Caenorhabditis elegans: one gene and its partner. The protein of the gene in region 1 interacts with the protein of each later gene in a pairwise test. Each region holds a gene or a part of one and is shown in the gene's direction. Other genes may lie near its edges. The genes, in order: nhr-45 and nhr-142.

Evidence for each region.
Region 2: the proteins of nhr-45 (region 1) and nhr-142 interact in a two-hybrid assay, tested with the Caenorhabditis elegans proteins (one large-scale study listed by BioGRID).

What each region holds. Positions count from the first base shown.
Region 1 is NC_003284.9:4,650,720-4,666,837, reverse strand, and holds nhr-45 (Nuclear Hormone Receptor family), read left to right. Parts: upstream 1-6,519; 5' UTR 6,520-6,539; coding exon 6,540-6,687; intron 6,688-6,851; coding exon 6,852-6,917; intron 6,918-7,052; coding exon 7,053-7,336; intron 7,337-8,051; coding exon 8,052-8,333; intron 8,334-8,869; coding exon 8,870-8,974; intron 8,975-9,086; coding exon 9,087-9,397; intron 9,398-9,457; coding exon 9,458-9,576; intron 9,577-9,621; coding exon 9,622-9,782; intron 9,783-9,858; coding exon 9,859-9,960; 3' UTR 9,961-10,405; downstream 10,406-16,118. Other genes in the region: Homeobox protein ceh-1, read left to right, coding at 12,683-12,862, 12,910-12,978, 13,027-13,176, 13,230-13,346.
Region 2 is NC_003283.11:5,779,146-5,795,782, reverse strand, and holds nhr-142 (Nuclear Hormone Receptor family), read left to right. Parts: upstream 1-5,229; 5' UTR 5,230-5,716; coding exon 5,717-5,761; exon of another isoform or gene 5,762-5,837; intron 5,838-6,327; coding exon 6,328-6,402; intron 6,403-7,041; coding exon 7,042-7,145; intron 7,146-7,190; coding exon 7,191-7,324; intron 7,325-7,700; coding exon 7,701-7,885; intron 7,886-7,934; coding exon 7,935-8,042; intron 8,043-8,093; coding exon 8,094-8,306; intron 8,307-9,156; coding exon 9,157-9,370; intron 9,371-9,420; coding exon 9,421-9,572; intron 9,573-9,621; coding exon 9,622-9,717; 3' UTR 9,718-9,826; downstream 9,827-16,637. Other genes in the region: nstp-3 (UDP-galactose transporter), read left to right, coding at 547-668, 714-920; ZC250.2 (N-acetylgalactosaminide beta-1,3-galactosyltransferase), read right to left, coding at 1,002-1,284, 1,333-1,412, 1,471-1,923, 1,974-2,133, 2,571-2,794, 3,303-3,452; F44E7.9 (Rab5-interacting protein), read right to left, coding at 3,807-4,046, 4,376-4,453, 4,501-4,548; F44E7.7 (Major facilitator superfamily (MFS) profile domain-containing protein), read left to right, coding at 10,323-10,420, 10,467-10,685, 11,187-11,853, 12,400-12,468, 12,521-12,613, 12,669-12,890; fbxa-183 (F-box domain-containing protein), read left to right, coding at 12,996-13,075, 13,196-13,402, 13,450-13,536, 13,582-13,705, 13,823-14,215, 14,260-14,466; F44E7.5 (F-box domain-containing protein), read left to right, coding at 15,007-15,138, 15,335-15,450, 15,666-16,002, 16,054-16,206, 16,255-16,637.

The sequences.
Region 1 (16,118 bases):
CAGCTGTGTATTTTCAGAACTAAATTTGGATGTGCACTTTAGGATCTTCAAAAAAAATTTTCCATTTCCCTGTCAATTGTTTTAAATGCAACCTCTACGAGTTTAAGAAACAATTTTTGACTTACAAAATAAGAAATACAACTTTTTATCTGATTTATGGATGTTTTTTTTTTCAAAAATCGTTCTGATACGTAGATACGAATACGGTAGATAGATACGGACATGGTACACTTTTTGTGCAGGAACAATTCGAAAAACGAACACTTGAAAGGCAAGTTAAATAAATATGTATATCCTTTGTTACCACGGCAACCAGCATATCAACCACAGGCTCAGAATTAATACACAGCGCAAGTAAAGCTGATATTTATTCGAATTTTCTGCAGAATTTTGCTATGTTTGAAAATCAAAAGGTTTGTTAAAACATTTTTTAGGTGCGTTCAAGATGCAGCTGATAATTTGAACATTGTTAAATAAACATGTGCTAAAAGTGCCAAATGTTGCAAACAAAAGAGCACAAGACATGGTTCTCTACCTAAACGTTCTTTGAGCTACCGAGACTGTTTCATTGGACTAGAAAGATGAAGATTTGTATTTTAGAAAGATTTGCGCTTTGTTTTCACTAAAAATTGATGCAGAGAAACTTCTCTTTGTCTCTGAGACACGTGCTTTTTATTTGCTCAAAACGGTCAAATTCAAAGACCAAAAGATAAGGGTCTACATACTTCACATCTATTTCCATCGTTGCAAAAAGAGTATTCTTTTCAAAAGTAGTGGTGTTTCTGAAAGTTTCAATAGTGTTTCAATTAGCATAGCATGCGACAGTCTGTAATATTAATTTTCGCGGCACTATTCTGAATTTTCTATTGTTATATTTCAATTACTAAAATCAATAAAATCTAAAGCAGGTGCACATAATTTTATTTCGAGAAATGATCAGTAGATAATTCGGTCTTTTTGAAGTAATTGAATCTACAAATGTTCTAAAAAGTTTCTAAAAATGTTCTCAACCTTTAGCATATCCATAGACAACTTGAATTGTGGTGTTCAAAAAAGGTGTTCGTCTCTAAAAGAAACTGCAAAAACGTAACAACAAAACGAGGAAGGAGTATCTAATTAATAACTTGAAAAAAATTGATTTAAAAAAAACATGGAGAAGACAGAAATGTGATGAATCTGGATATAACGAGAACTTTTTTGATTGAATTGTGTTAAACGAAAATTTTAGTTTTCCTCAAAGGTATCGCCCGTAGGTATCTTTTTAATATAGTAGAATATGAATCTCAATAACCGAGTATAACTGTTTGAAAAACATTTTTCAAAAATGTTAGATGAGTTTTTGAGTTTTGCATAAGACTTATTAGAACAAACAACTGTTTTCTTAGAACTTTTTTACCTAAATTAATTGACTTTTTCCAGTAACTGTTTTTTCTGTGATATTTTAAATTGAATAATAAAAGAAAAACCTGAAAAGGCCATTTAGTTTTTTTTTTGTTGAGAAACGGAATGTGCCATAATCAGCCACTTCTTGCAAAATTTAAAAAAAATTAAGAAAACCAAAAAGGTTGTATTAATTTTTTACTGTTGTACCACGCCTTTAGTAAAGTTTTATAATTTTCATTTCTTTATATTTTGACCAATTTTGTCTAACCTATGATTTTGATGTTCCCCAAAACGTGATTAGAATTTCGATCGTAGTTTAATATTTTATTTCGTTCTTAGTTTTACTCTGCTTTCGTTTACTTCAAATCTAATAAGCTTCGTATATGTCAAGCGTTGATCTCTTTAGTAATTTGTACTGGACTTTGCTCATGATCAAGTTCCTTCTTAGTGTGTATGCGGTCATCTGGTCGCGCACAAAACGCACCACAAGGCGTGCACTACTGAGTGCAAATTATCGCTTTTTCCTATTGTTAAACTTTTCGGTGTTGTCCGATCAGAGTTCAGGAAAACACAACACAGAATAATAGTGTTTCCAACAAATACTCTCCAGAAAAGCTGTCAGTTGTAATCAATTCGAAAAAATACCAGATCAATGGGTACTACGTTAATCGTTTTCCCCTTTTCCGATTAGTCGTTTTTTTTTTCTGCCAGATCATCACCAAATCTGTCATCATCAATTTTCGCTTTTTTGCTGGTGGCGCCTTTTTTTTTTTGGAATATTTGATAGGCAATCCTCAATGTCGTCTGTCTTTTCTTTCTCTTTTGGTGAATTGGTTAATCAAAGATCTTGTAATTAAACAGTGTAATGTTGGAAAAAAATTGCATAAAGATCACTCACAGTATATTATTTCGTTCTTGCAATAGTACAACTTTCTCGTCGGCAATTCTCGAGTTTTTAAGATCAATATGTATTTACAATTTTCATGAATCGTATCGAATTTCACTTGCATGAGCAAATATGTTTCGTTGCACTAGCCGCACATGTGATTCTTGAATTTATAATTCTGACAAACTCCGCTATTGTGCCAAGGTGAATTTAAAATATAGAAATAAAAGAAAAAGAAACTTTGTTGCTTGTTTACAACTTAAAATGCGGATAAGGTTTTTTTAGACCACTTGTTTTAGGAGATTGAAAAAATGTTTCGAATTTCCAGAAACTTGAAGTCGTAAAAAACCCAAAAAAACCAAGATATTGGCGAACTTGGATAAATTTATCTATTTTTATGTATATTGTAAACGGTTATTTTAGTTTCGTTATATTTTTTATATTCATGGTTAAACATGTTAGAGCAAAATTGAGAAATACTGCAAATATGCTTTGAAAAAAAAAAAAAAAAAAAATCAAAATAAAAGCTCCGCCCAGTTCCTGGGTATTTTTGCGCTTGAAGTTTCTAGAATTTATCCAATCCGTACATTTCAATGTGTTTTTTTTTGATATATCAGTTGTGGGGATTTCTAGTAACTTCTTATTTTTAGTCCCGGGCAACATATTACAAAAAATTATCCCATTTGACAAAAATTGCGTACACATATCTGAAAAATAGGCTTATCTTTGAAAAATTCAAAATCGGAGACAGTAGATTCCCAAACGAATATCAATGGTTTTTTTTTCCTAAAAATTATTTCAAATTTAGAAACATCATTAACTCAATGCTACTTTAAATGAAATAATATGATCGCTTGGATAATATGATATTTTGCAAATATGATATTTTGCAAATTCCATTTCTGGCAACTCTAAATATTTTAAAAATCTTTGCTATTGCAAAAATCATTTATTTAGATCATTGTTGCATACGCATTTGTCCTACTAATTTGATAAAACAAACGTAAATTAATTCATGATGACACCCAGATATAACTACACCACTTGATTTGAAGTGATCTTTTTATCAATTCTGATATCACCTTATCAATCATATCCGATTGTTTTTTTCGCGTTGTATTTTAGATTATATATCTTGTTACCTTTTTGATTCCGTTCACCACAAAAACCACAAGAACATGCATACTAAAAGAGAAAAGATTATTTTGGCTAGAAAATTTTAGCGTAGTACCTATACTTGACTACTTTTAGCAATACTTTCTTTCAAAACCAATTGCCTTTTAGAAAACTTCACACACCAAATTTAACGACAAAGACAGTTAAAATCACAAGAGATCAGAAATCATCCGAGTGAAAAGTGCAAAAGAACTAGCGAATTGAAGCACTTCTTCTTTTCTCTTTCTCTCTGCGTCTTGACACCAATGACGGGAGAATTTTTGCTTTCAATATTTCTCGGTCTAGTGATTTCTAATATCAAAAATTAAATAAGCAACAATTTTTGGTTTTCATTTGATTGTTATTTTTATTTTTCGTTCTAGACACCAGCGCCAATTTTCATTTTGTTCAGCGAACTTGAACGAGAAAACGACGAACCATTGCACTACCTTTTCCTATTACTCTCCTTCTCTCTTTCTCTCTCTCTCTCTCTCTCTCTCTCTCTCTCTCTCTCTCTCTCTCTCTCTCTCTCTCTCTCTCTCTCTCTCTCTCTCTCTCTCTCTCTCTCTCTCTCTCTCTCTCTCTCTCTCTCTTCTGTCTCTCTATCTCTCTGTGTCATCAACAAACAGGGGTGAAGAGAGAAAGAAACTGGGAGAGGACGACGTGTTGTAGCGCTTGAATATTTGCCAAATCGTTGTATGCGCGCACTGTCTGACGATCCCGCGCATTTTGTCGGGCATAACAGGGAAAGGAAGAGACATTTTGGAGTGAAATGATGGAAGAGTTAGAGAGGAATAGAGAAAGAGAAAGAAACAAAAAGAGAGTAAGAGAAAGGTCTCGCCGGTCCGAAATATTACGCTCCTTTTCTCCCTCTTTTACTCTTGCTGGTAGGGAAGGGAGGTCGATGATGGGGGAAAAGGAAAAAAAAAACGAATATTTCGCAATGCGTATTCTCTCGTACTTTCTTTTTTCACCTCCATTCCACACGTCATATTTGTCTCTGATTCTTATTGATTTTTGTTTCATTCATCAGAAAATTTTGAGATAAGGAAAACCGAAACGGTACTGTGCCGCGTCTCTTATCTTCCACAACACATTATTCTCCTTCTTCTCGCTCTTCATTATGCATTTTTGTTCTTTTTCACTTCGTAGATTTTACTTTGTAGCAAATGGAGTTTGTAGCTGTTAAATGGAATTTGAAATTTGTAGAGCTAGAATAACATTAAAACAGAGATTTTTCTGACTTTTATACTCTGCAAACGTTTTATAAGAAAAACGGAAACTAGTTTTGCTCACAAGGAAAAACCTATAATCTTTCACATCACGCTTTTTTCTTTTGCTGTCTGATGTGGTTGATTGGCAGCGCGGGATACCCCGTTTCATATTGAAAAATATTTGAACTTCACAATAAGAGCTCAAAAAATATTTCAAAAAATCATTATCAATTTTTTTTTTGAATTTATGTTATCAAAGATTTTTTGCCTTGTCAAAACTAAAATAATTTATGAAAAAGAAACAATTTAAATTTTACAATATCAGAAAATTTTTCAAAAGAGTTTAGCGTCGTTTTTCTATTAGTAATATTTTAAATTTAAATTTCAACAGAAAATTAGGCAATCAAAGTTTTTTTAAAGTTTATCTCATACTGTTAGAAGAAATATTTTTTTGCATGTCGTACTGGAACTATTCTAAAAATGTTTGTATTTTTATTTATTAAAATTCAAAACTGTTTTTTGAATTGTGTTCTACTTTTAATATGAAAATTGATTCTTCCTGAATTTCCCATAAGAATACACCTGAAAAAGTTTTTTAAACTTTAAACTTTAAACTTTATAATCTCATAATTGGTGATTTTTCGTAGTTTCTGTTCTGATTTAATACGTAGATCAAGATCGGTGGATTGGAACTAGACTAATGATCAGTGTTTAATGGGTTAATATTATAAAACTTTTCTATAATATTTATTTTCCTAGGCGTGATCTTCTTGCTTTTCACTTTTGGATTTAAATAAAATATTAAAGTTAATCCAATAATCTATCCCGAAGTCAGCAAGCGAAGTCTGCTGCCATTCAGCATTTCCTCATTCCTTTGTAAATCTTCTGAAATAGATATAAATCTACACTTTTCTCTCTTTTTTTTCAAATTTTTCTGCAACCACCAAGTTCACTTCATGACAAAACGCAGCAAACAATTGTCGGCAGGCTTACGTCGCCATGGTAGTGTCTTTCAAACAGGTGCTTTCTTTCGTTTTTAGACCAATGCCCAGTGCAACTTGTATTAATCGTGTATCCGTCATTTCCTGACTCAAACGGGAAAGCGACCCTAATCCGTACGTTTTACTTCAGATTAGTGGGCGCAATTTGGAAAGCCCGATGCATCAATTTAAAGTTTACAAATTTTGAGCTGAATCTTTTTTTTTTGCTGTAAATTATATATTTTTCTCTCGGTGTCGAATAATTAGAGAAGGAAAAAACACAAAACTACAACTTTCAGAATCAGAATCCAATTTCCTTTGATGATCTTCGTCTAGTATTTTTTTGTTCTATAATACTTTGAAGTGTCTGAAGTAAAGGGGAAAAATAATTCAATTTGGAGAACCTTACAACCTTTTTTTCAACAATCTTCAACATGTGACTTGCAAAATGACACACTTGTAAAAATATGATGTCAAAAAATTGTGGAAAATACTTTCTTTTCCTGGCCAAATTGATTTTATCGTATGATTAGTAATTTTTGAATCAAATTGATAAGAAAAGTTATACGCATAAAAATGGCCGTCACCTCCATTGTTGGAACATTGTGAGCTTTTGTGGTTGACGTTTCAAGCATTTCTTTTTCTCTCTGCTCTTTCAATATTTTAATGAAAAATTATTATATCTGCGTGAAAATGTACCCCACATTCTTATGTTTATTTCCATTGATCTGAAAATGTAATAACTTTTCTTCTTTCTTGCCACATCACTTCACCTGGCTGTAGTAAACTTGCACTATTGAGAAATCTTTTGAAGCTTTCATTTTTATTGAAATTTTATTTATTTTTCACTTCATAACTATGACAACCCATTTCTCCATTAATCGCACACTTTTTTTTTCAGAAACAACTAGCAAGATCAGCATGTCGTGTCTGGTGTGTGAGACCGATGCACACGGTCAGCACTTTGGTATCCGATGTTGTCGGGCGTGTGCAGCATTTTTTAGAAGAACTCTTACAATGAACCTTAGGTACAAATGCCGATTTGATCGAAAATGCGAAGTTTCATTTAGTAAGTGTTACGTTATTTTGGCACCCTAGGTTCGTTCTGACATTGGTCTTTTTCGCAATAGTCTTTGTGAGTCGACCGATCAAATATTTGAAACAGATAACACCGGAAACAAAATAAACGAAATCATGACGTGCTTTTCAAAATTTAAAATTTAATTTTTCCAGATAAAAGGTACTCCTGCAGATGTTGTCGTTATGAAAAATGTGTTCGAGTAGGAATGCGAAAAGACAGTAAGTGTTTTACCCGAGTTCCTTGACCCCTAACACACTTGACAATATTTGCAATCGAAAAAGACTCGAGTACTTCATCTCCAGATCAAAATAGCATGCATCCTTTCCCCACACACAATTCCCCTCCAATTGCAGATCTCACATCCCCTGTTTCAGTGGTACAAAACAAATCGGAGACCGAGAAGGACTCGTCTGGAAATGAGACTGACAGCATTGGACATTCTCCGCATTCTTCCCTGGAATCTTACACGTGTCGACCGCCGAGTTTCGAGCAGCAGCAGCAGAACCAGAATCCAGATCCTCCGTTATTAATGGGCAATAATGGAACGTTTGTGCAGGAGGTTGCGTCGGACGCCTATCAACCGAATAGCGATATGCATCAGCTAAACTTTTCGTTTCACAGAACTGTCATTGAAGAGGTTTGTAGTTTTCTTTGAAGGTTTACTTTACCGACCACAAAATGATGTCGGTAAACATTATAAAAGTAAACACATATTGATTGAAGATGAGTCATAATCCATCGACCAAATTGTCCCAGTAGTGGAATTTAATCCGCGCCGGCTTCTTATGCTTGCGATTCATGTACATATGCATTATTCAATGGACTACTACTGAAGCACTTGACAAATTTTCTTTCTGACCAAAATTCTAATTCTATCCAGCACAAAAATTTCATTAGATGAAAGTCAATCTTGTGGACTCGGGCAACACATCGTTAAAATTATATGCTTCGAGAAAAGCCATTATCCCCATGACAACAGGGCAGCGCAAGTTTGAGCGAAATAGCAAGCTGAGAAAAATACATCCCATTGTTACTTTGGCTTTTTGCGCTACTTTTTGAATTATTTTTTGAATCAGTGCAATAATGCCGGCGTTCTTTGTGGTGGATAAAACTGGAAGTCGCTACGCAATGCTCGGTGCTCCAAATGTGACTTCTGCTGTAAGTTCAAACTGACCGGAAAAATACACTTTACGAGTTGAATTTTCTTATCACTCAAATCACACTCATTTGTTCAGGAATTATCGAAACCCAGGCACACTTCGATTAAATACATATACTATACAATTAAATACATATACTATACATACATATGTACATGAAAATTGCATAGAGCATAATTTCTATACTTTCAGGTGGGTCGAGCGGTAATGCCAACTCCTCCATTCCAACAACCACCAATTCATATTCCGCAACCTTTCGACTATCAATACACAGATTTGTTGAGCACAGACGAGCAGAATTCATCGGCCATCCCCTCTTCGTTTACACAATATAACCAAGTACCTCAAGAATACAATAATGAATCTGGAAATCAGAATCAAATGTTTGCCATGGCCGCACAACAAGCAACCCAGGATCTTCATGTGAATGTGCAAAATGTTTTAACGCCGACTATTGATGCAATGTTTGGACAGGTAAGAGTTAATGTGGTTTGTTAAGTTGTACTACATACGTACATTCTGATTCTGATTAATTTTTTTGATGAGCAACTGAAAAATGTAATTTATGTGGAATCAGCCGTGGTTCATTATAGATGATGTCCAACAAATGAGAAAGTTATTAAAAATAATTTCTATGATGCTATGATGACCAAATATCGACAAATATGAAACTTTTCAAAAAACGTTGATAAATTATTTTATTTGAAGTCAAAAATAGGTGAAGCATCAAATCCCACCATTTATTTTGGAAGTCGTCGATCGAAAAAAAGTTTTCTTTCAGTGATATGTTTTAAATATGTTCCAAATATTCATATTTCAACATTGTAGGAATTCAAACATGTTACAGTGATTTAGATTTCTTGAAGAGTGGCGCAAACTCAGTTTTCACGACTTTCCGAATCAGAATAAAAATGTTTCTAAAATTTTTGATAAACGTTTTTCAATTATTTTTTTCATACTTTACTTTTAACCAAAAACATTTCACATATTTCTGAATCTATTCTTTACAGCCTCCTGACGCATTCTGTCAACTTCCGGACATTCCACTGACCCTCTGTCAGCAGGCTTTACTGGCTTACAGAGAACATAATAAACAATGGCCAGATCAAGACAAGGTGAGAATAATCTTGTTGTAACCGATAATCAAAATAGCAAAATAGATTATCTCAGAAAATTCTAGATTTTCTGAACTTGTGATCTCTATTCATAAAGCTCTTGCACTTTTAGATGATTGAAAACGTGCCTCTCGATATGGAAAATTTCATGCGCAATCATTACATTGAAATTGAGCACATTGCACGATTCTGTATGTCTATTCGAGTTTTCGCCCAACTTCCAAAGGATCAGAAGTGGATTATCTTCAAGCACTTTTGGACGAGGTTCTATGAATTAGATAGATGTTTTGCAACTTGCCAACGACTCGGCTATAACCTCACTGACGAGAGGGGGCTCACGCTGAATGGTCAGATTATCAATTTTGGAATATCTGTTGTGAAACTAGAGAATATTAGTGATATGGATGCTACACAAGTTAGAAAGTTAGTTGTTTAAAATTAAGTTTGATGAGAAATATTTAATATGTACTTACTTATTTTTAGTTTCCTAAAAGGAAGTATGGATAAGTTCCGATTGATCTTTATCAACCCGTTCAAAAAGTTGCAACCAACCGAGTATGAGCTCATGTACATGATGATGAGCATAATGTGGAGTGTATCAAGTAAGTTACTGAGCTTTTGAAATCAGTACTATTCTTTAACTGCAGACCTCCCTGGAATCACTGATGCTACTAGGGATATATCTGAAAAGGTTGAGCTTCGGTTAGCTGAAGATCTCCATACTTATTATGCTGAACAGTATGACAACAACAATCCAAACTACGCTGGTAGAATAACACGGCTAAGTAGCATTGCCTCCGCTGTTGATGTGAGTTTTTTCTTCATTTCTAGCGTGTGATTTCGAAATTATCTGGATAATATATATAATGTATATATATTTTCAGGAGATCACTGAACGAAAAAGGGAGGATAGTCAGGTGTCCAAGACGTTCAACATTTTCAAGAACGATTTCTTCTTCAGCGATCTCACCGATTTCCCAGTCTGATCTTTTTCTTGTTGTCCATAGTTTTATTCACTGACTTTCAGTGTCTCAATTAGGTTGACAAGTGCTCTCGTAACTTTAAATCTCCGATGATTTTGAAATATCTAAAATCTAAATCCAGTTATCACCAGTCATTCAATTTATGTGTATTATAAAGTGCCTAAAAATGTGAATCTTCATTTTTCGGCACGTCGTCACCTCTGACAAAACTCATCTTTGTAGTATAGGAAACAAAAATGTACTTGATTTCATTTAAAAATCCCAAGGTCTTTATCTACAGCCCCTCCAAAATTTTCAATTTTTTTCACTATCTGTTTTTCCCTTGCTCCACCTCCTTAAACGTATCCCGTAATCAAAATCTATAATCTATCATATTGTATTCTCCAGCAACAAATGCAACCAAATGTATTAAAAATGTTTAAAAATTTATAAAGATTATTGTCACACTTTTCACATCCAATTACCAGTCTGACTCTCACGTTTCCAGTGAATAACAGCGTGTTTCAAAATGTCATGTGCTAATAATATTGAACATATTAGCAAAAACCTCATTGAAATTCTACAAAACTGCATCGAGTACGTTTTAATGAATACAGGTAAAATTTTTGAAAATTCCCAAAAAATGTTTTCATTATTAATCATTTTTTGATTGAATTTTAAATGTTTTCCCAGAATATGAACAACGAATATATATATATAAAGCAGTCAATTTTTTAATGATTTTTAATGACTGCACAGTTACAATATTAAAATCATTAAAAATTGTATAAGTCAATACAAATTGTTAAACATATTTTCTCTAATTTTATCTTTTTTATTGTCAAATTTTTAATAGCACTACATTTTACTGTTGTATTTTTGACTACGGTTTAAAATGAGTCGAAAAATGAGCATTCTCATGAAAATAATTTATATAAGCTTTTCTTTGCCGGTTGCCAAAAATTTTAAAGTTATGTTGTTCGATTTGCTTATTTTCGAAGAATTGAGGTGTTTTAAATTGCTTTATCAAAATCCGACCCGCAAGTTGTTAGCTCCTCCAATTGTGAAAATTAAAAAACTTTACCAGAAACTGCGTGTCTTTGATTTATGCTTATAGGATTAAATGTAAGAGTTATACACAATTAAAATTCTTTTGACCGAATGAATTTTATACAGGTTTAATGAATTTTCATATCACTTTTAAACGTATGTCCAAAAAACTAACATCTAGGTGTTCTAAAAGTCTAATTATCTCTACGTCCAAAATTATTGTTTGAATACTATCCATAAACCTGTCATATTTTAAGAAATTTACGATTTCTTGGCAAATAATTTGATTTGCTTTTTTTTTTACTTCAGCTCACATGTAACTCTATAAAGCGATATATAAATAAAACTCCATACTCAGACGCAGCCTAAATTGTTCTCTTCAAAAGCATACACTGTACTTTTTCATTTCGTTTCCTCCCGTTAACAATATAAAAAGTGCTCCATCATTCCTCAACTATTAAAAATTGTCTCCTCTTGTCAATAGTTCTTGTTCTTCCGTCTTCAACTCCTCCGCAACTTTATTTATTCCCATTTTCTCTTTTTTAGTTCTAAAAAATTTATGTTTCTGTCTTTATTTCTCATCATGTCACAATCAAATAGAAGAAGCTCCGGTAGGCGGTAAACTTCTGTGTGCTTGGAGTACAATAGAAGCCGAAACCAATACAATAAAATGACACAGAAGAGACAAAAAGAATAGTTCATCTCATTAGCTCAGTTGCTCTGATTTGCTATTATGAATAATCCAAAGGGTCTGAAGAACCCGATAGCTTTTGTGTTTGTAGTTGTTAGCGAAGAGAAAGAGGCGTAACATATTTTCATATAGTAAGCAATTATTACGCAAGTGTTGTTTGGAAGATTGTAAATGAGATGAGCAACGAGGCGAAGAATGGGGTCTCCCCGGCAGTCGCCGCAGATTTCGTTGCCCAATCAAAACTACCCCACCGACTCCACCCCATCTGCTGTCAGTTTGATTTTGAGCCCCGATCCAATAGGTTCTCGTGAGAGTTTTTTGTCGCGTTTCATTTCTTGATGATTTTTCTTGATTGAAAAAACTATTGTGGCAGTGGTTTTAACTATGCCCATAACTGTTGGAATTTCATCAGGTATGAAAATTCCATCAAGTTTTATCATATGTTACTGTTCCCAGGATCGTTTTTTGAGATTTCAAAACAGCAAAGTGATTTAAATTTTACATTTTTAGAGTTAGGAGTAATCATATCTATGCCCCATTTTTTAAAATTCAACAGATCATATATCAGTTCTTAATTTACATATCCACAAATCTTCAATTGACAAAGTACATATTTGTATTTTCTTCATATATTATTTATTTTATGTTTAGTAGAGATTATCAATTGACATCTTCAAAATGAACCGAGATATAACCTCACAAATTGAAGTCACCTATTACGGGTCCCGCAAGTATCATTCCTGTTAACAAACAAAACCAGCTGTTGTAAACGCCAGCGTGCTACTTTTTAATAAAACCAAACACACTCACATTTTCAATTTTTACTGCCTTAACCAAAATGTCCCAGAAAAACCACTAATTTCTATTACTGAGACATTTTGTAAAATATCGTGAACATTCTCTCTTTCTCACTCTCGTTCGTTTTTTTTGTTGAATTCCAATTTTGGAGTTCAAGGCCAAATTGCACTTTTTTGTTTGTAATACAAGCTTTTCATCTTGACAGCTATGAATGGCTTTCGTGTCGAAGATTTGCTATCCGAACGGGAAAAAGACTCCAACTCGGATGAAGCCACGCATCAAAAGTCTCCAGCTGATGGCGGGAAATCGAGTCGGAAACTCAAAATGCGGCGAGCCAGAACTGCATTCACTTATGAGCAATTGGTTGCGCTGGAAAACAAATTCAAGGTTGGTGAAACGTTTTTTTTTCGGGTTCTGCATTTTTTAAATTTCAGACTTCACGTTATTTGAGCGTCGTAGAGCGTTTAAATTTGGCAATTCAACTTCAGCTTTCTGAAACTCAGGTAGCCATGATTGCAGTGAAAATTTTCATATCTTCAAAAGTAGTTCAGGTAAAAATCTGGTTCCAAAACCGGCGTACCAAGTGGAAGAAACACAATCCGGGACAAGATGCAAATACGCCTCAAACCCCACCATCTTCCGATGAAACTCAGATTCAACCAATTCTACCGGCAAATCCTATAACTTCATTTAGTTCATTGGTAAATAACAATGCATTATTATCAATTCAACCTTTAAACACCTATATTTTCAGCTTTTGCCGCCAATAATATCTCCAGCAAACTCAGCAGTTCTACAAGGAACATCCATCCCATTAACACTGTTCAACTTGAACCAAATTCTAATGCCTCAAAATGTGGGCTTCAATTAAATGGATATTTTGTTTTTGTTTTTTTTTTCGGTGTTTTTTTTTCTCTTCTTACAATTTGTACGGGTTCTGAGCTTAAACTCTGACCGTTTAATCTATTCCATTTCTATCACATGAGCTTGAAACTTGGCTTAACTTATAGCCCCCACACCTAGTTTTTAAAACAACCATTTTAGTGTGTAGACTCCGGTTTCTATATCTTTGAATCCACATATCTTTCTCATTTCCTGCAATCCCATTTACCCAATACTTCAATTTCATTCAATCCGGTTTTATTATCGCTTGATCGATATGAAATGTCTTAAATACAATAAAATTGGCCCATGGATCAATGAAGTAATGATGATTGAAAACAGAATTGACCCATGATGCTCACGACCACGTGTCGCGCAATTAAATCATGCGTATTTCGTAACTCGACCCCGTCTTGGCGGTTTTGTTTCAAGCTGTGAAATGAGAGGGGACAGCTGAGCAACATTTTGGCAGAATGTCTGCACTTCTCGAAAGTAATCGAGCCTGTTCACATTATTAGTTGTTCTGAATAGAGTTTAGATGAAAAAGCGCCTTCATCATTCAATTAGGCCATGCAATGCACATTATAGTAATAAATGTATATAGATTTGTACATTCTAAGGTCGAGTTTGAGTTTTTGAATATATTATATTAGTGTTTCACCCCATTGTTCAACTTTGGCAGCTTATCAGTTGTTGTATGTTTTATTCAAATGTTGTCAGCCGAGATAGAGCCTTTCAAAGTACATTAATCGGGTGCAATAGAGGAAATACAGTAGATCAGGATACGGCAAATATTGCATTGCTGCTTGAATTCAACTTTTTAAAAAAGTATTGTCAATGTGGTTTTTCATGGAAACATTAACAATAGTCGAAGATACAGTATGCCTAATTATGAACATCAAAACTTTTCAAGATTGTCAGAAAATTTTCAGCCAAAGTTTTGGTCACTTGCCTACTGTACAAATCCTCTACATTTTTCAGATAAAAGTATTGTTCGGTTTCCAGAAGGATGAAAACTGAGTGATTTTCAATTAGTTTTTCAAGAAATTTGATTTGTTTTGTAGTGATATTTGGCCATTGCCGCACAATGAAAGTGCAGTGATCAGCTTCTTAAAATAAAATAAAACTTTTCATAAAAAACATTTATTTTTTAACTTCAAAATGCAATTTCCATCATCCGGTCGTTGTGAATCTCGGCTCACATCAAAGTGAGAAGTGACGAATTGGTCACATTATTCAGATAAATATGATACCGCATAAAAATTCAAATATCTACTGCCGGATGTTTTTATCGAGGCGCTCAACATTTGAATAAACGACTTTGGGAAGGTTGGCAATGGTGGTGGAGACCCCGAACGATTTTCACAGCTGCATCATTGTCGCTGAATTGCCTGAATTGTGAAAGCTGTACCAGTAGTCTTGAGATGATTATTGAACTCCCAACAATGTCACCGGGATCTGGAAAAATCAATTATTTTACTGGGACTTGATTATTTCGATACATCAGTGTGATCCATCAAACATCAAAGAGTCTGTCAGTGGGAGCTGTCATGTTATCTTGCGGTATTGGCAAATTGCATCCAAATCGTTTCAAGAAGCGGCTGTTGTGGTACAATCAAACACTTGCCAATTGTCCCACTTAAACATGTTGGCGACTCAATTTACAATGATTTGTAGGTCACACACTGACAACTCATATCATTGGCGAGTCCGTCATAAGTGGACCGCAAAAAATGTGTTCGTCGCGGTGAAAACAGGGGATGGGGCGAGGTGTAGGGAGTTATGGTGTTTTGAATGTTTTCCGGATGACAAACAAGTCAATGAGGTCTCTATGTCGAATCGGCACCACCCGACCACAAAGTAAATGATGGGTGACAAATGAGCCTTCAACCAATTACATAGGAGAGGCCCTCGCATTTGTCATTGCATCTTTGCCTGTTATCAGCTCTTGCTCTCACTTGTTCCGTGTGAACAAGTGGATGGATTTGCTGGCTTGTTAATGAATTACACTTGGACACAAAATTGAGGGATTTCATGGAGGGCAGCACAAAAAAATGTGGTTTAATTAGAGGATTTAAAAACAGAAAATGTTTTGAAAAGTAATTGAAGCACTGTTTGAACCCCTACAATATTGATATATAATCCAGTCTGTGAAAACTGAGATTTCACCGCTTTTGGACTCGAAATTAAAAAATTCCAAAATTTGTTGAACAGTTTTATTATGATATATGTTTATTTTCGCACTACATGAACAGTTTTTTATATTTTCCCCATTGGCCGTGATCCACATTTCACTTATTCAGTAATGATAAATTTTGCGTTATGTACAGCCTGACGTTATAACTAAACCATGCTTATTTTCCATGTTTTGAAACGAGTACAGTATTATACAAACTAGAATTCTATAAAACAAGCTCAATTTATATCCAAAAATGTCAAGAATATGTTTTTCGACCGGGAACATCGACCGGGAATACAGATATGAGTTTATCAAAAAGATGTAGTTTTTTAGAAATGATCAAATCTTGGCCTCTCTTGAGGGGGCCGGGAGTGTCGCGAATGCGGAGACCTGAACGGTCATCCTGTCACGACTTTTTGGAATGATAGAAATATTAGTTGAAAGGAGAATGAAAATGGAAATGGAATTAGAGCAATGAGCAATGATGAAATGTGGACACAATGAAGAAATGACATTTCGGACCTGAGGAGTGGTTTATAATCAGCTTCACTGATTCCAAGCTGTCTTCTAGGAGCCGGGAGT
Region 2 (16,637 bases), on another chromosome or scaffold:
TGTTGTGCACATATTTGTCTCCATTTTTGCTGATGAATGTTTTTTATCAAGGCGGCCCTGGATAAAGTTGAAGCAGCTTACATCTTGCGAGTCGATTTTTGAATTGAACCATGAGTATTTTACTTGCAGAAAACTCTAGTTTTTAGGTTACAAATATTGTAAAAACGCTCGTTTTTCTCATATTTCGCGTTTGCTTAATTCATCTGTAAAAAGACCGTATCTCCTCTAAAAGTATTTCACCCCACTACTTTACTTTAAGTAGGTATATCTTGACTCAGCTTGACAATATCAAAAAATAATCAGTTGCAAAACGATAGAAAAAGAAATGATAAACATTTTATCAATTGATAACTTTTTTATAGGACAAATGACAACTAAGATATACGCGTAAATTTTGACGGCGTATATATACGCCGTCAAAATTTTGGGTGCATAGAGAAAATACTGTAGATTTCTAAAATCAATAATTTACAAATTATCATTTAAACAGGAGAATGATAAAAAACTTAAATTCACTTTTATTTCTAAAAAATTCTAATTTTTCAGAAGGCGCATTCCGTGGTTGGGACTTCGTGGTCGTTTGCTTGACAGTCACCAATTCAGTTGGTGGAATATTGATATCTGTGGTAATAAAGTACGCCGACAACATTCTAAAAGCATATGCTCAGGCAAGAAATTCATCTGATGTCCAATACAAAAATAATATATTACAGAGTATGGCAATCATCGGAGCTGCGGTTGGATCGTGGATTCTTTTTGATTTTGCTCCTGGTTTTATGTTCCTTCTTGGCACATTTATGGTCATTGTTTCAATAATTATTTATACCGCATTCCCGTATCAAGAGCCGGAATCGAAGCTTAGTGCATATCTGAAATCGCAACAAAACTCGTCACTTTTGATGATTAAACCGGAAAAGTAGAAGTTCAAGATGAAGAATTTATTATTCAATGAATGATACTCGTAATAACAATAACACATTCCTGTTATACATGTCGTTTTCCTAAAGCTCAGATTTGTGATTATATTCTTCTAATTCTACTAGGTACTCGTAATATACTGAAATTGGATCTATATCAGTAAATTTATGAAATGATATTGGATATTTTATGTACTCCGGAGCATAATCTAGAGGTCTCGCTTGATGTAATCTAGATTCGTGAACAATTGGAATTCCAGCTGTTAGTGCACAAATTCCGATCGTCATATCATCCGGATCAGTATTTGCAATACACGATGGGCATTGTGCAAGTAAAGATTCAACTGCGGAGCGCGTGAATATCATTCTGAAAGTCAAACAAATTGAGAAATCTAGAAAAACTATTTGAACAAACCCAGATCCGCCAGTGGGATAGTCATATCCACTGTCACCATTCAAACTAAATCCATATCCATAGCGCTCGCCAATAATTATCTGAAATGTTTTAAAGATACTCATTAATAGTAAGATCTATGAAATTAGAAATACCTACCTTATCTCCAGAATCATATAACTCTAACATTTGCTTCAACCGTTTGAAATTCATCAATGTATCATCATCGGCTACTACAAGCCATTTCGCTCCATTTCCAGAACTTCCCAAAAATCTTCTGAATATTTCCCATGTCTTTGCACAATGTCCTCTGTCCGTATTGTCGACTCCTAGATTGATTGTTGGAATTGCCGGATCCTCTTTGTCGCTACAGTACTCTATGCGTGACACGTCGGATGCCCAAGTGTTTTTGAGAACTTCAAGTCGGTTCACATGATGTCCTTCGAACGTTTTGACCATGACATGAACTTCAGAATCAGAAATTGAATTTGACGTTTTTGGAAAGGGAATTGAACATTTTACAATGCAACTATCAATGGTATCTCCACAACAAAAATAATCAGGATGATGGTGAAGCCTCAAATTTTCCCATTTGTGTAAAAACTGAGCAAACTAAAATGTGAAATCGTTTGAGAAATAATATTATCTGGAAATGGTAATACCTCATATTTTGCATCAATTGCAAATCCGGACCATCGATCGTTTATATCGACTTTTCGAATAATTTCAACTACACTTTTTGACAAGATAAAACCAGCAGAAAATAAGGGATATTGGAAATTTTCAGGAGCATTCATTCCAAAGTGATGGATAATTGTCGGGCTTAACAGTTTTTTTTTTATATTTTGGACTTTTGTTTTGTAGAAACTTTGAAATTTTGAAATTTTGAAATCTATCATTTCTCTATTAGGCAGATGCGAAATTTTACAATTTGTAATGCAAAAATACAGTAACAGGTCTCGATACGACCGAATCTGTTCAAATTAAAACGAGTGTGCGCCTTTAAGAAGTACAGTAGTCTCTCGGTTTGTTTTTTTTTCAATTCCAACTTTTCTGTTTTTTGCAGCTTTTTCGTATACTCGGTTTTTAAAAATGAAAAAGTAGAGCAACTGGAAAACGAAAGAAAACCAGTGAGGCATGGAGACTACTGTACATTTTAAAGACACACATCTCTCTTTTTTTACATCATCGGTCGTGTCGAGACCAGGTTCCGTAGTTTTTCGTCGAAGCTAAAATTCCCTAAAAAATCTCAAACTTACTCTCGATCCTGAAGTGCAAACCCGGAAAATACCATATCAGAAGATGGTTCAGATTCGAAGAACTTCGGTAAGTTTGAAATATTAATTTCAGAAGTATCTTCTGCGATGATTATCCAATCAGAAATAAACGGCAATTTCATAATTGCGGGAACTATAGTCCACATCCCTTGAGGATAAGATTCCGTGGAAAAATCATTTAGAGCGTCGAAAACGGAACAAGAGAGCTGAAATTTAGTGATTCTCAGTAACTATTTAGGATTATTTTATGAGAGTTTAGTTTTTTTCGTCCAAAATTTATTTTAGAAAGTGGACATATTACTGGAACACAAAATTCTGAGAATGTATTGCGCAAAATATCTCGTCGCGAAAACTACAGTAATTTTTGAAATGACTACTGTAGCGTTTGTGTCGATTTACGTGCTCGCTTTTTGAAATGAATTAATCATTGCTTTATCGATAGAATATTAAAATTCTGCAAAAAATGAGAAAAGTACACGGCGAAACGAGGGAAAATGGAAGCTACAGTAGTAATTTCAAGAATTACTGTAGTTGTCGTTACGAGATATTTTTCGCGTCAAATATGATGAGCAGTACGCATTCTCGGAATTTTGTGTTCCCGTAATATAAATCTTCTGTTCAGTAAACTGTTTTCCGATTGAAATTCGCTGAACGGGCGCTATTTAGTTTGATAAGCCTCTTTGTTAAAAGACAGATTTTTCTAAGAATTCAAACCTTTAATATTTCACAATCTGCTAAAATTTGCTTCCTCCTTTCCATTACTCTTTGTTCAGTAAGTTTGTATCTAGATCCAACTAATAAAACCGTCAAATTCTCCGTATCACATAGTGACAACAATATAGATAAGATGATTAATAGTTGCATCTAAAAATTACTTGTTTCATAGTTTTACTATAAATCAACTCGAGATAAGTTCATAATTTGGTAGCGTCCATTTCAGTCAGTACAACAATTAATTCTAGAGATTCAATTCAAAGTGATTCATATATTTGAACGGAAGGCAATTGGGGTTTGATATTTAACTATTTAAAGATAAACAATTCGCAAAAAAACATCACAGAACAAAAATAAAATAATTTTAAAATTAAATATTTGGAATAACAAGGGAAGAACGGCACACGAACATGTTTAAGTTGTAACTTTGATTGCTTTTGGCTCAAAACTGTCGAGGTAAACTAAACAAAATTCAATAAATACTAATATATATTTCCAAGGTCTCTACACTTGTGTCGAGTACGTGTAGGTTGTGATCCACGTAACCATGAAGGTAGCGAAAGCAGCACCGAATCCTTCTTTCGACAATTCCCAGAATCCTCCGACTTCTTCTTCGTCCACTCGTTGGAATTTTGTAACAAAGTGGTGAGCAATGACGGAAGACGTTCCAACGTAGCAGACTAAAACGAGGACTCCGGTTAGTGAGGTAATTCCGAAGATGAAGCCCAGCAGCAGGGAGATAACCTGGAAAGAAACAATGAAAAATGCTAACTGATTGTTAGATTTTTTAAAAGAATAATTTTATCAAAGCTTTTTGAATTATCGATTTTTTGAATGATATTCTCAATTTCTGAAATTGGTTACTCTATTTCCACCTTTCTTAAAAGAAATCCAACTTATTCGAAGAAACTTCCGAAATTTATGTGAAAAATTTGTTTTTGAAATATTCAACCAAGAAACAACCCATTTTGTAAACACTTCAACGCATAATTGAAGTGTTTTGAGTGAAATTATATAAATTATTGGAAGTTTTTTTTATTTCTTTTGCAGTTTTAAATTTTTTAATATCTCACCTGTTTTCCCCAGTAAACAACATCCAATAATTCGTCTTTGTCTGGCCATTCAGAGCGAGGTGTGAGTCCTTTGGCAAGCTAAACATTATCGATATTTGAAACATATTAGTTTTAATTTAATTTACCGTCTCGGTCCACGTGGGTTCCAGTGGTGCAGACGATTTGGACGACATTATACCTGAAAATAAAAAATAAAGTAATTTTTGAAACAATAATTGAGAAAAATTAAAAGAAAATAAAGCAATTCCAATAAGAAATAAGAAGCTGCGTTCCAAAAAGTGTTCACAAAAAAGACGAGAAATGCGCCAGCTCCCGCAAAACACGCCAGAAACCGCCTTGACGCAAAACGCGTCATGGACTCACCACTGATTTACGAGATACGAATCGAGGAGACGCAACTTGGAGACACATGAACTGTGGAAACAGGTTTCCGAGCATTTTTTTTCCCTATGAGTGTAATAATAATTAGTATAGTTAGGTGAGAAAATCTCTATTCTAATCTGAAAAATTGGAAATAACGGTTAGTAATGTAATTAAATTGAAATTAATTTTTTATGTTCCAGATTAAAATAGAGTTTTTCTTACCAAATCACACTAAAGCTTCAGCTAAAGGGACGGAAAAAAATTCCAGCTAAAATTTTCCCAACGTTGCTTGTTCCCCCATATCGCGTTTCCTCATTCAGTGGTGCCTCACTACGTGTGGCTTGTAGGCAATGTGTCAAAACTGCTATGTTCGTGGTTTGTAGTCAGAAGTACAAAAATCAATTCTACGGAAGTTTTCAATAAGAGAGAGAGAGAGAGAGACACTATAGGAATAAAACAGAAAAGATGAAATCAGTCAGAACGACACATGAATAGTCTAAAACCGTTGTATATGATATTCCAATATTTTCTGCCTTCTAACACCTCTTGTCGTTTCCCATTTGAAAGTCCAAGTATTCGCATAGAAAATAAGGTGTGGTTTTGTATCCGCATAGAAGGCACACATATCCACTTCCTAAACGAATTCGTTATGAATTTCTCCATAGTGTCTCGATAGGTACCCAAGCCCTGTCAATATTTGTTCTCAATTTTGCTTTCACCGTTTTCTCACTCCAACTCGCACAGACACAATCTGATAACAAAAATAAAACCAATGTGTTTAAAGAAACCGTGACATATTCTGTGATTTGATATATCATTTCAATCGTTCAAGACCTCATAAGATTCTATTCATTATTCCATACGGAAAGGTTGGCAAAAAATCAAAATTCCCGCCCATTCCTACATTTTATCGGTGGTTCATGCCCTCTAGGCAGTCAGTTGATTGTTTCGGTTTCAAGAGGTCAGAAGCCTAGTCTCATGGAAGTTCCTGAGCTCATTGATGATTCGTCAATTCAAAGAAAGGTTAATTCTTTTGGCTTTTTAGGCTTTTAAGGCTTTTGTGTAGTCTGTAAATTGTACGGATAAATTGTAGTTTGTTTTTAATTTACTACATACATTTGCAAAAAAATTTCTGACTTTTGAATTGGATACATGTATTTTTATACAGAAAATTCCCTTGATATAATTGTACATAAAATTAAGCTCGGGATTTCTGGCCAACTCGGCGAGCTTTCGCTCAGGTTTCGGTTGAAAATTTATAATGGCAAAGCTCGGGCAAACGTTGGGCAAGACTTGGGCAAGTCTGAGCCCAATTTTTGCCCAATTCTTGCCAAACTTCTCTTGTACCGCTTTCAATTTTTGTAAGATTTTGGCAAGAGTCTCATTTAACGTAAACGTAGCCTTGATCCAAATAAAGTCTTGCCCAAACTTTGCAAATTTCTCTACCAATTTGATAATTTTTAGACCACGCTGATGGGTAGCTTACTTTATAAAATTTCAGCGAATTGATCAGTTTCTACCACATTTGAATTCAATATATTTGTTTCTTGCAACCTACTTTCTACTTTTAGTCAATTCCAAATTTTCAGGAAACACAATCACCAATGGAAATCGGAATGTCTCCACCGGCTTTTATAGAGCAATCCCGAATGAGTGTAGATCAGGTAGGAATTGTTACAAAATGTTTCATCATTTGATATTTCATTATGACGATACACTTTTATTTATCAAGTTGACAATAGGTTGGAATTGATAAAATCTAGGATCACCTAGTTTTTTTTCGATTTCGTGAACTAAACACATTCTAGTTGTCATAGGTTATGTGATTTCTTATCAATGAATTAATCCCATAAGGATCTAGCGTCTTATGAGTCACAAAAACTATGTTTCCATTACGAAAAGCAGCACTATTATCAAAATACCGTATCCAAGTTTATCTTACAATTGTGATTTACCGATAAACATCAAAAATCTAGATCTGTCACAAACTCTATAAAATCTATGGCCGCTACAACACATTTAGATTTGAAATTGGAGATTTTTAATATTCTAAAGTAAGATCTACTTTAAAATATGATTGCTTGTCTCTAGTCTTATTTCTTTAACTACATCGAAGCACGTAAATGATCACAAACTCCATGGCCGAACACACAATTTCTGTTCCCAAACGCACACACTAAATCTCTTTCACCCCTGCGCATCTTCCTCTTCGCCACTCTCTCAGGTCATGAAACACAGAGAAATGGGCACACAACACAATTGAAGTCACAAAAGTGAATATCATTTGATGAGAAATGTTGCAGCCGTCGTCATCTTCATCTGATTCCGAATGCCGAGTTTGCGCACACACGGCACACGGTGTCCACTTTGGAGTTTTGTCTTGCAGGGCTTGTGCTGCGTTTTTCAGGTAGGGTACATGTTTTGGACACTCAAAAAATAACACAGTTTTCAGACGCTCTGTTGTCATGGACAAAAAATACTCGTGCAGAAAAGCAAGTCAAGGATGTCGAATTGACAAGTCAGAGAGGTATCTGTGCAGATTGTGCAGGTACAAAAAGTGCCTACAACTCGGGATGACCGCAGATAGTGAGTACAAAAAAATAGTTTCACCATTTCCTTTCTAGGTATATACATTCAAATCAAAATTAGCCTGACCCCACTAACTACTGTAGAACTTTGTGTTTAGCATTTGTAAGTTTTGGACAAAAATACTAGAAAATAAAATCATTCTACAAATTATACTTATTTTGTTTCTAGTGGTACCTAAAATATTTTCTTAATTGAATTGGCATTTCACAAGATCATATTTAACAGAAGTCTCGAATATACATAATTCCAAACATTTATTAGCAGTTAATAATGTTGTAAAATTTCAATAGTTTCACAAAATGTTCTCCCTGAATTCACGAGTTATATTTTTTGAGGATCATGTTTCTTTACAACCACAACAATTATGTTTCAGATGTTCAATGGAATCGTGATATGATTTCATCAACTGATAGAAAACGTCAAAGTGAAGAAGACGATGCAACTGACGTTGATGCATATTCAGATTGGAGTCCTGGATCCAAAAAGTCTTGTTTAGATGCTCCACCACTTTATGATTTGTCAAGAACTTTGAATAAAATACACAAGACTTTTATGGAGGTTTGTGCTGTGACCCGTATATTTATTCCGTAAAATTCCACGTTTACAGTTCAAAATACCAGTTGATGATCCGGTTTACCAGTCGACCAGCACTTTAGGAAAAATGGATTGGGCTTTGAGACGTCATCGGAAGAATAAAAAGATGCAAAACTTCCGAGTAAGTACATAATACATATTGAAGACTATAGTGTAGTTCAAATATAACCAGATCATAAACACTATACGACTGGACCAATTGGTTGATATGTGGGGAATGGAAATGACCAAACAAGCAGAATTTATGATGCATTCTGAAGAATTTCGAGAATTGAGTTTGGAAGAAAAGTTTTCGATTTTCAAATTAGTTTGGCAAGTGTCACAGAGATTCGAGAAGCTGACAATGTCACTGGAAATTTTTGGAAAAAGGGCGATAGAGGAGAAAGTGAGTAATTTCTTTTTTTTTTCTTGAAAAGTTTTTTTCTTAGAAAGTAATGCGTGATCTCACTTGAAATCATAAAATATCTACGAAAGAAACGAAGAAAAACAAATAAATGAGATTCGGCATTACTGTTGAACTTTTGATATGATTTGGAAATATTTTTCCAATCATTAACAACGACTTCAATTGGAAAAAACCATCAGGTTTAGAAAAAATATGATTTCAAGAAAATAACGTAAAAATTAGTAGGTTCGACCATATCGTATTAAATCTACCAATATTTATATAATTTCAAAATAAAACACTTTTGTTTTGCAGAAAATAGTTTATATGGACCATAAAAGGAGAATAAAAGGCTTTAATCATAATTTCTATTTTTGATATTTTCCAGTAGTCATTACATCTTTAAAAAAATCCTCTTCAAAAATGTTAACTTTATAAAAATATTTTATCAAACTTTTAATTGAAAATTTTAGAAAATATTGAGGAAGTCAGTTATGCCATGAAATGTTGAAAAATTTTGGAAAGCTCGAAAAAATGTTCTATTGAAACAATTTAACTTCTTTGCTATTTATACAATTTTTGTTTAAAAAATATAACTTCTGGAGAAAAAAAATCAGAAAAAAACTTCTTTTTTTTTTTTGGAGCATTCGCAGTTTACATGAGTAGTTTGTGGGTTTAAATTTTTGTGTAACTTGAGGTTTCTCAAAAACTAATAATTTTGTTTTTACAAAATGAAATTTTTTAAAAATGTGGCAACTGCCAAAACTTTGTCTGAAACCTTTCAAAAATCTGTTGGACTAATATGACAGCATTTATACGAAATCTCCACACCAATATCAAATTTTTGTAGATTCTCATCACCTCAAATTCGACTGCAATTCGAATGGAAGATGTTGAAATTGATCTTTCCAAGATAACCGACTACACTTCCCTCGAGCTCCGAAAAATGTTCCAACATGTGTGCTCACAAATGTATGAAGAAGTCGCTCGTCCACTTATGGAGCTTGATCCATCCACAATTGAAATTAGTTACATGTTGTGTCAAATCATATGGCATATTGCTGGTGGGCACTTCCCCTTTCAATGAGCTCTCCCAATAATTCTAAAATTTCAGGAAAAACTCTTCAAGGTGATATTCTTGATGCGGGAGAGAAATTCATTGGGAAAATAGCCGACGATCTTCATCAATATTATTTGAAAGAGTACAAAATGTCAAACTATGCTGGTAGACTTATCAAACTGATGACTGTTGTGAATAGTTTACAGGTGAAATTTCGTGGCCATTGTCCACCAAACTGACGATTTAATGTTTCAGAGAATTCATTTGGATCGCCTGAAAATCATGGAATTGGCTAAGATTTTCGAAGTTTTCAAGGTCAAAGTGACCGATCCATGCGTCTTCCAGGACTAATTTTGATTTATTTCTCTTTTCCATGTTCTCATTTTTGGTTCATTCTTCATATTATTCTAAAATCTGGTAAATAATTTGTCAATGCTCAAATACATATTTTTGTTACGAACTAGGTTTTGGATGTAGAAAGGCAAAAAAGAAAAACAAAAAACTAGTCTTCGCCAGCTATTTCAAGCTTCGCCAGATTCACCAACTGGCTACTTGTGGCTTGATGCTTTCGAGATTGGTTGGCCGTGTGCAATACTGTTCCCATCTACTATTTATTTAATACGTTTATTTGAACGTGAAAATAAGAGAAAAAATAGGAAAAAGTAAAAATTATATTGAATAGCTATAAAATTATATTGAATAGCCTAATTATATTGAATAGGTACATAAACTATTTTTAGAAAACACGGATTAAGCGAAATTCTGGGAATGATAAATAATAATTCAAAAATATTGTTTCACATGATTTTTGATAGTATTTCTACTCTTGCCTCCGCCACATTTTCAAAAAGGACAAGTTTGATGTTTTGATCAATGATGTTATATGTGATTATGCAAATGAACAACCATAAACTCTACTTGTCAAAGGAACTGAACATTCTTGTTGTAATACAACTATGACAGTGATAACTATTGAATCAGGATTCCCAGATGTTCGGCACATATCTAGTTTTGTGTTCTTTCACAAAACTCGATACTTGATTATGATACTTTCGTAGGTTTAAATATTTTTCGTACAACATAAATTAGTTTTGATTCAGGCTTTTGTGTATGACAGTTGGTCAAATGAATTCCTTAAGCTTCAACTTCACAGTTATTTGTATGGAAGATGTAGTTGTGGACTTTCATAGTAATAACAGAACGGATTTGCATTGGCTGGAAGATCCAAGTCAAAAATCTTGGATTTTCTCAGGAGTTGCAATTGGAGCAGTAATTGGATTGCTTCCACTCGTGCCAATGTTAGATAACATTGGGTTGAGGTGAGTAGAATGTATGGAATTCTGTTATTTAATTTAAAAAATTAAATTGAACCATTGACTAGCTAATGTTTTGTAAAACTTTGCGTGCAGGCACCAAAATAGCTGCCTGACAGCCTTCGACCTATATCTTCCAAAGTGAACTTATTCAAGCATCAAGCTTCAATAATTTTAATCAAACCAATATATAAACTTTTTTTGATTTGAAACTATAATTATAACCTTTATTTTGATTTAAATTTGTGAAATAATACTAAAAAAATTCTTGAAAGTGGCAGATTGCCACAAACTGTAAACTGAAAAATTGTATTTTGAGATGAAACAAATGTGTGTTTGAGATTTTTCAAAAAGCCCAATTTTTTTTTGAAAGCTTGGAAATTCACGAATTTACGAAGATTTAAAATAATATTTTTCGAAGCTTTTAACTTTATTATTTTGATAAATTAGGAGCATTACAAGTGTGTTTAGACTAAATTTCGACGATGCTACATCTTTATCTTTCAGAATAACCTTCACACTATTTGGTATAATCTCTGCTGCCAGTTCTCTACTCTTTCCATTATCAGTTCACATGGGATTCTATGCTGTTTTTATTGTAAGAATATTACAAGGAATCGGAACATCAATCCTCTACACAGTTGTCGCTTATATTCCGGGAATATGGGCTCCAAAGACTGAAATGGGCACTTTTTTGGCAGTTTTATCATGTGGTTTCCAATTGAGCAACATCATCTGTATGCCCGTTTCAGGAATACTTTGCGAATCGGATTGGGGGTGGAGGCCGATCTATTACATTTTTGGATCACTTACTATTCTCGTCTATATGGTATTTTTCTTTTTGTACGCTGATGCTCCTAAGAATCATTTCCACGTATCATCCAAAGAGCTGAGTATGATTTGTGCTGAAAAGAAGCCAAAGAAAGGAAAAGAAAGTGTTCCGTACCGAGCAATATGCTTTGATAAATGTGTACTTGCAACGTGGCTTTCAATGTGCGGAAGAAATGTTGCATTCTACGTACTTGTTTTGTATGGACCTACTTATCTGAGAGAAGTTTTACATTTTGATGTAAAAGGCACCGGATGGGCAGCAGCTTTACCGTTTGTTTCGTGTGCAATTGTTAAATTTGCATCAGGTCAACTAACGGATAGACTGACAATGTTTTCCGAGAAGGTTAGATTTTTATAGGTGGAGTAGATTTTGTTTTAAATACTCAAAATGGTTTGAAAACCACAAAATAACAATTAAAAAATTGGGTAAGAATATAAATTCAATTATTAAAAGTGTGATTTTTTTTCTGAAATTTTAGGTTATGTAAATTGAATTCCCTCCAAAATGAGAAGTTCGCGTGGTTTCAGGAAGTCACATAACGGGTTGATCTACAAAAAAATGCGGGAATTTTTTTCCTAAAAAAAGGGAAGTTAGCACACTCTTAACAATGCGAAATCAGTTTAGAAGTCTGCGTCTAAATTCTCGCAATTTTCGGAGATCAAACCGAGATGGGACATTCCGACACATTTTGAACTTCACATACTAAGTCTGATTGGCCCTGAAGTTCTGATTTTGTAGGAAATTCAATCAGGGAATTTATTTGAAATCAAAGAATCTTTTTTCATTGGTTTTTGGCAATTTTGAAATTCAGACCATTTTTGGCATTTTGAAGCAAATTCCCTATTTACCCTACCCAAATAGTTTCTAACTGAACATTTTCAAATTCAGACAAAGTTTGTTACCTGCACACTAATCTCCATGATTGGATTGGCCGCTGGATTTGTCGTCATGTCATTGGTAGCTCTAATCTTTTTTGATTTCTCAGCAATCTTAATAATTATTATTTCAGACATCTTCCAGAACAATTGCCCAAATTTCATATACTTTTGCAGTTACTCTGTCAGGCATTACAATCATGGGTACAGTTAAATGTTTGCAACTGGTAAAAATTTTCTTTCTCCCAGATTTTATTTAATCTACAAATCCAAAATTTTCAGCGATGCCAACAACATGTTCACTTTGCAACTGTTGTTGTTGCATTCATGGCATGCATTTGGCAGTTTTTGGTACCTCTTGGAGTAGGGTACCTTTGTCCGAATAATACTCCTGAAGAATGGTCTTTCTTGTTTTTTATTGTATCCGGAATTGTTTTAATTGTCAATATTCCTTTCCCGTTTTTGACTACCGCTGAAGCTGCGGATTATGCCAAACGATTTTAATAAATATCACTTTTTAATTTCAAGTATTAAAAAAAAATACTGAAATAATTAAAACATTTTAGAAAGCCAAATTTTACGTGAGCGTGAAACGAAAAACAAACGCCCATGAAATTTCAAATTCATTTATTTCTTGATACTTCGCCAGCTCTACGAAGTTTGTTTCAAATCGTCAAAATGTCCGATCAGTAAGTTTTTCATTATGTTATGCTACGTGAATCTGTTTTATTGAATTGTAATTTCAAAAAACTGCCAACGTAGCAAAAACTAAACTGTATGCTTTATGAAAAATTTCATTCAAATTTTAGAATCGATCCCAAAGTTAAATGTATCGTCATGGACCCTAGAGCATTGCGAATCTGCGTTTTATTTCAACATCTTCAAGGCATTGAAGTTTTCAATGCATATAAAGCAATGAGCAAGGTATTTGGAGATCACTTTATGGAATACCGACACTTTGAATATTGGTATATGGGACTTGCAAATGGGAGTTTAACCGTAGACTCTTATGATAGGTTTGTCATTTTTTTCAATGAACATAATATCACAGTACCTTTTATAGATTTCATACATCAGAGAGGAAAGAGTTCACCGGCCTTTTCACCGACGTTCAAGCGATGATCCTTGATAAACTGAATCCAATTGATCTGTAAGAATTGATTGCATTTTTGTTTTGTAAATACAAAATTTTCAGGTTTGCTGCACGCGCAGTTTGTCGGGATTTCAAGGATATTATTGACAATCAAAAATCTACCCTGAAAAAGATAATGATGAATCTAGATGAGACAAGAGTTGATTTAGAAACAAACAATAGCCAGGTGGCCTATGAATTGTAGGATGAGGACTATTAAGTGAATTATGAGCAACGGGAACTGATTGTTAAGGATAAGAAACCATTGGAAGTTGCTATGACTGATGTATCAAAACTTTTGAAGATTCGAGGATTAAATCTGGATTGTTTCGAAGTTAATATTATGGTCTGGATGGATGAATGGTACAGAATTTTTCTTGCTATTAAAGGCGTTCTTGAATCAATTGGAATCTTGTCGGCAAAATCAGTTTTGATCAATTGGGATGACACTTATGAAATTGCTGAACTTCTGCAACACGTTAAGCCTGAAGTTCTGGAAGACTTAACAATTAAATGTCTTGGTTCCGAAAGAGAAAATCTGGTGGGCCTGGAACAGTGGAAAAAAGCAAAGAATCTGAAATTGTCTAAAGTTCCACATTTTTCTATTATTGTCAAGCATCTCAATCACTTCAAATCTATGAACTTCGACTTTGTTGGAGAATCTTTCTCAAGAGATGACATCATCAAGTTTCGAGATGTAAGTTTCCTTTAATATATCAATTTTTCAACATAAACTTTCAGGAGGTTCTTCTAAAATCAACAAATTTCGAATATTTTACTTCTGAAAACGTGAAATTCAGTGCAAGACTGCTCGTTAAAGTTTTCGATCTACACTCAACTCCAAGTTCATCTGGCTCAATTGTTTATAAATCTAAAAATGGAACATTCGATATTGCTTATCACCCGAATGGGTTCACCATCAAGAAGAAAATCGACTCGAATCATTGAACTCGTGAATATGTATTTGGATAATAAATTTTTTATCCTTTATGAAACTGTTGTAGTGTCGAAATATACCACATTTTCAAAAATAATGGAATTAAATTTAAAAAATAATCCTACCGTATCCATTCAAAACTTCCTTGTGCGTTGCGAGACCTGCCCATAATAGAACACCTCCCTTTAAATTTAGCTACTGTCTTGCTTCATTTTCACAATTTTTACTGTCCAAAACGTAAAGTTTCGTTCAGAATTCACGAAAATCGAATTCTTTGTGTTCTTATCTCAATTTTTGAACCTTTTTTTCGTACATAAACTGCTTCCAATGCAACCCGTGTGTTTCTTTTGTTTCTTTCCTCCACATAGGCCTTTCCTTGCCGCGCCTGTGCTCTCTCTCGTGCGCACACTCTCTCGCTTAGGCCCTTCCAACACATGCCTGCAGGGCCTATTGCATCATCTCTCGCAACGAGCGAGTATATAAGGCGAAGCGGGACGAGCCTACCAGCCTATTTTTTGTTTCTTCTAGCACCTGTCTGACCCCACCTAAACATGGAATTGTCTACCGATTTGTGGGAAAAGATCTCGTATTCTCTTGCTGATCATCCACCATCACTTTGTCTTCTTTCGAAGTCTTCCTCAAAGCTTCGCGAGCTTGTCCAGTTCGTCATTGGACATTACGAGGTAATTTAAATTTTCAAATATTTATTTAGAATTGTTCCGATCGCCGCTCTTTTCACACACCTCACTAACACTGACCACCGATGCATAGATGTTAGTAGGCGTTGTGGGAAGGGCGGCGACAGTGAACGTCGTTTCTCATTATAAATTACTACTGTGTATAATTTATCAAAAATACTTTAATTTCACAATGTTCCAGGCTCATCTCCACATCACGCTTCCGAAGGATGAGTGCTGCGACGAGGAGAAGTGTTCCAAGGAGAAGGTGCAATTCGAAATGATTCTCAATCGGAAAGGAAGCTACCGACGTGGAAGGTGAGCTTTGAAGAAAAATCTGATCTCCTAGAGACGAAGCTTTTTTCATTTCTTTTCAATTTCCCATCTCAAATGACCTTCTATCTCTTTGTTCGAGAAAGACATTTCACGAAATGACGAAATCGGCATAGGCCCTCTCGCGACGACCTAGCAGCCGTGCCTAACACTCTGTCTCTCTTCTCGTTCTCTTTACATCAAAGTACACATTTTTGCAGAGCTCATTTCCACTCCATCTTCACGTGCCTCACTGACAAGATCGACTTGGCAGTCAATGATCTTTTGGAGCTGTTCGCCAAGGAACTCATTACTCTTCGATTCAACAACTTCCCTGAAAATTCGGATGTTTTCACCGTCTTCAACAAGCACTCTTTGCCAAAGTGTGAGGATATCTGCTTCAATGGATCACTTCCAGTACACAATGGAGTCTCCGATATGTTCCACTCGTGCCATAATATGAAGCGCCTTGTGATTAGTAATCCGAATACTGACACCGATTTCTCCCAGTTTTGGCCAAAGTTGAAAGGAAGCAAAGTGGAAACTCTGGATCTAATGGTGAGTTTCTTCAAAAAATAGCTAATGAAAAATAATTGTTTTGTTTTTTGGGACATCGAGTCATTCCACCACACTTCCACGAAAGAGTTCAAGCTTCCATTAAGCTTGAGACAACTTTTCTTCTGTCCAAAGCAAGAAGTCAAGTGCAAGCATGCTGAAAACATTGCCACACTTCTATACTCCGCGAATTGGAAACGGGTTTATGTAAGATTTCCTATGAAACCTTTCATTTTTCAAATAATTTTTTTCCAGATCCATTCGGAAGACGTTCTCGAAGCAATCAACTCTAAACTCTACAAACGGCTCAAATCTGTCACAGAGTTCTGCTTCTCATCGAAAGCATTCACCATCGATTATGCAATCGCCTTCCTTCAAAAATGTGACCAGGTCAAGTGCTTCAACTGGTTCGGACTTCATTCATGTGTGGCTCCGATTGTAATTGCACGACTTCTGACTGACATCCCACGGAGCATTGTTTTCGGTGGCTGCGTTGCTTGTCGAAGTGGAGAAACCGTTGGAAACGGTGGATTCATGGAAGTTGGAAATCGCGTCGCTGTCGTTCAAGTCACCAAACTTCTCGAACGCGAAGATTTCAAATCTCTCTACGGGAAAACTTTGGCTGATGCAGTTCTCTT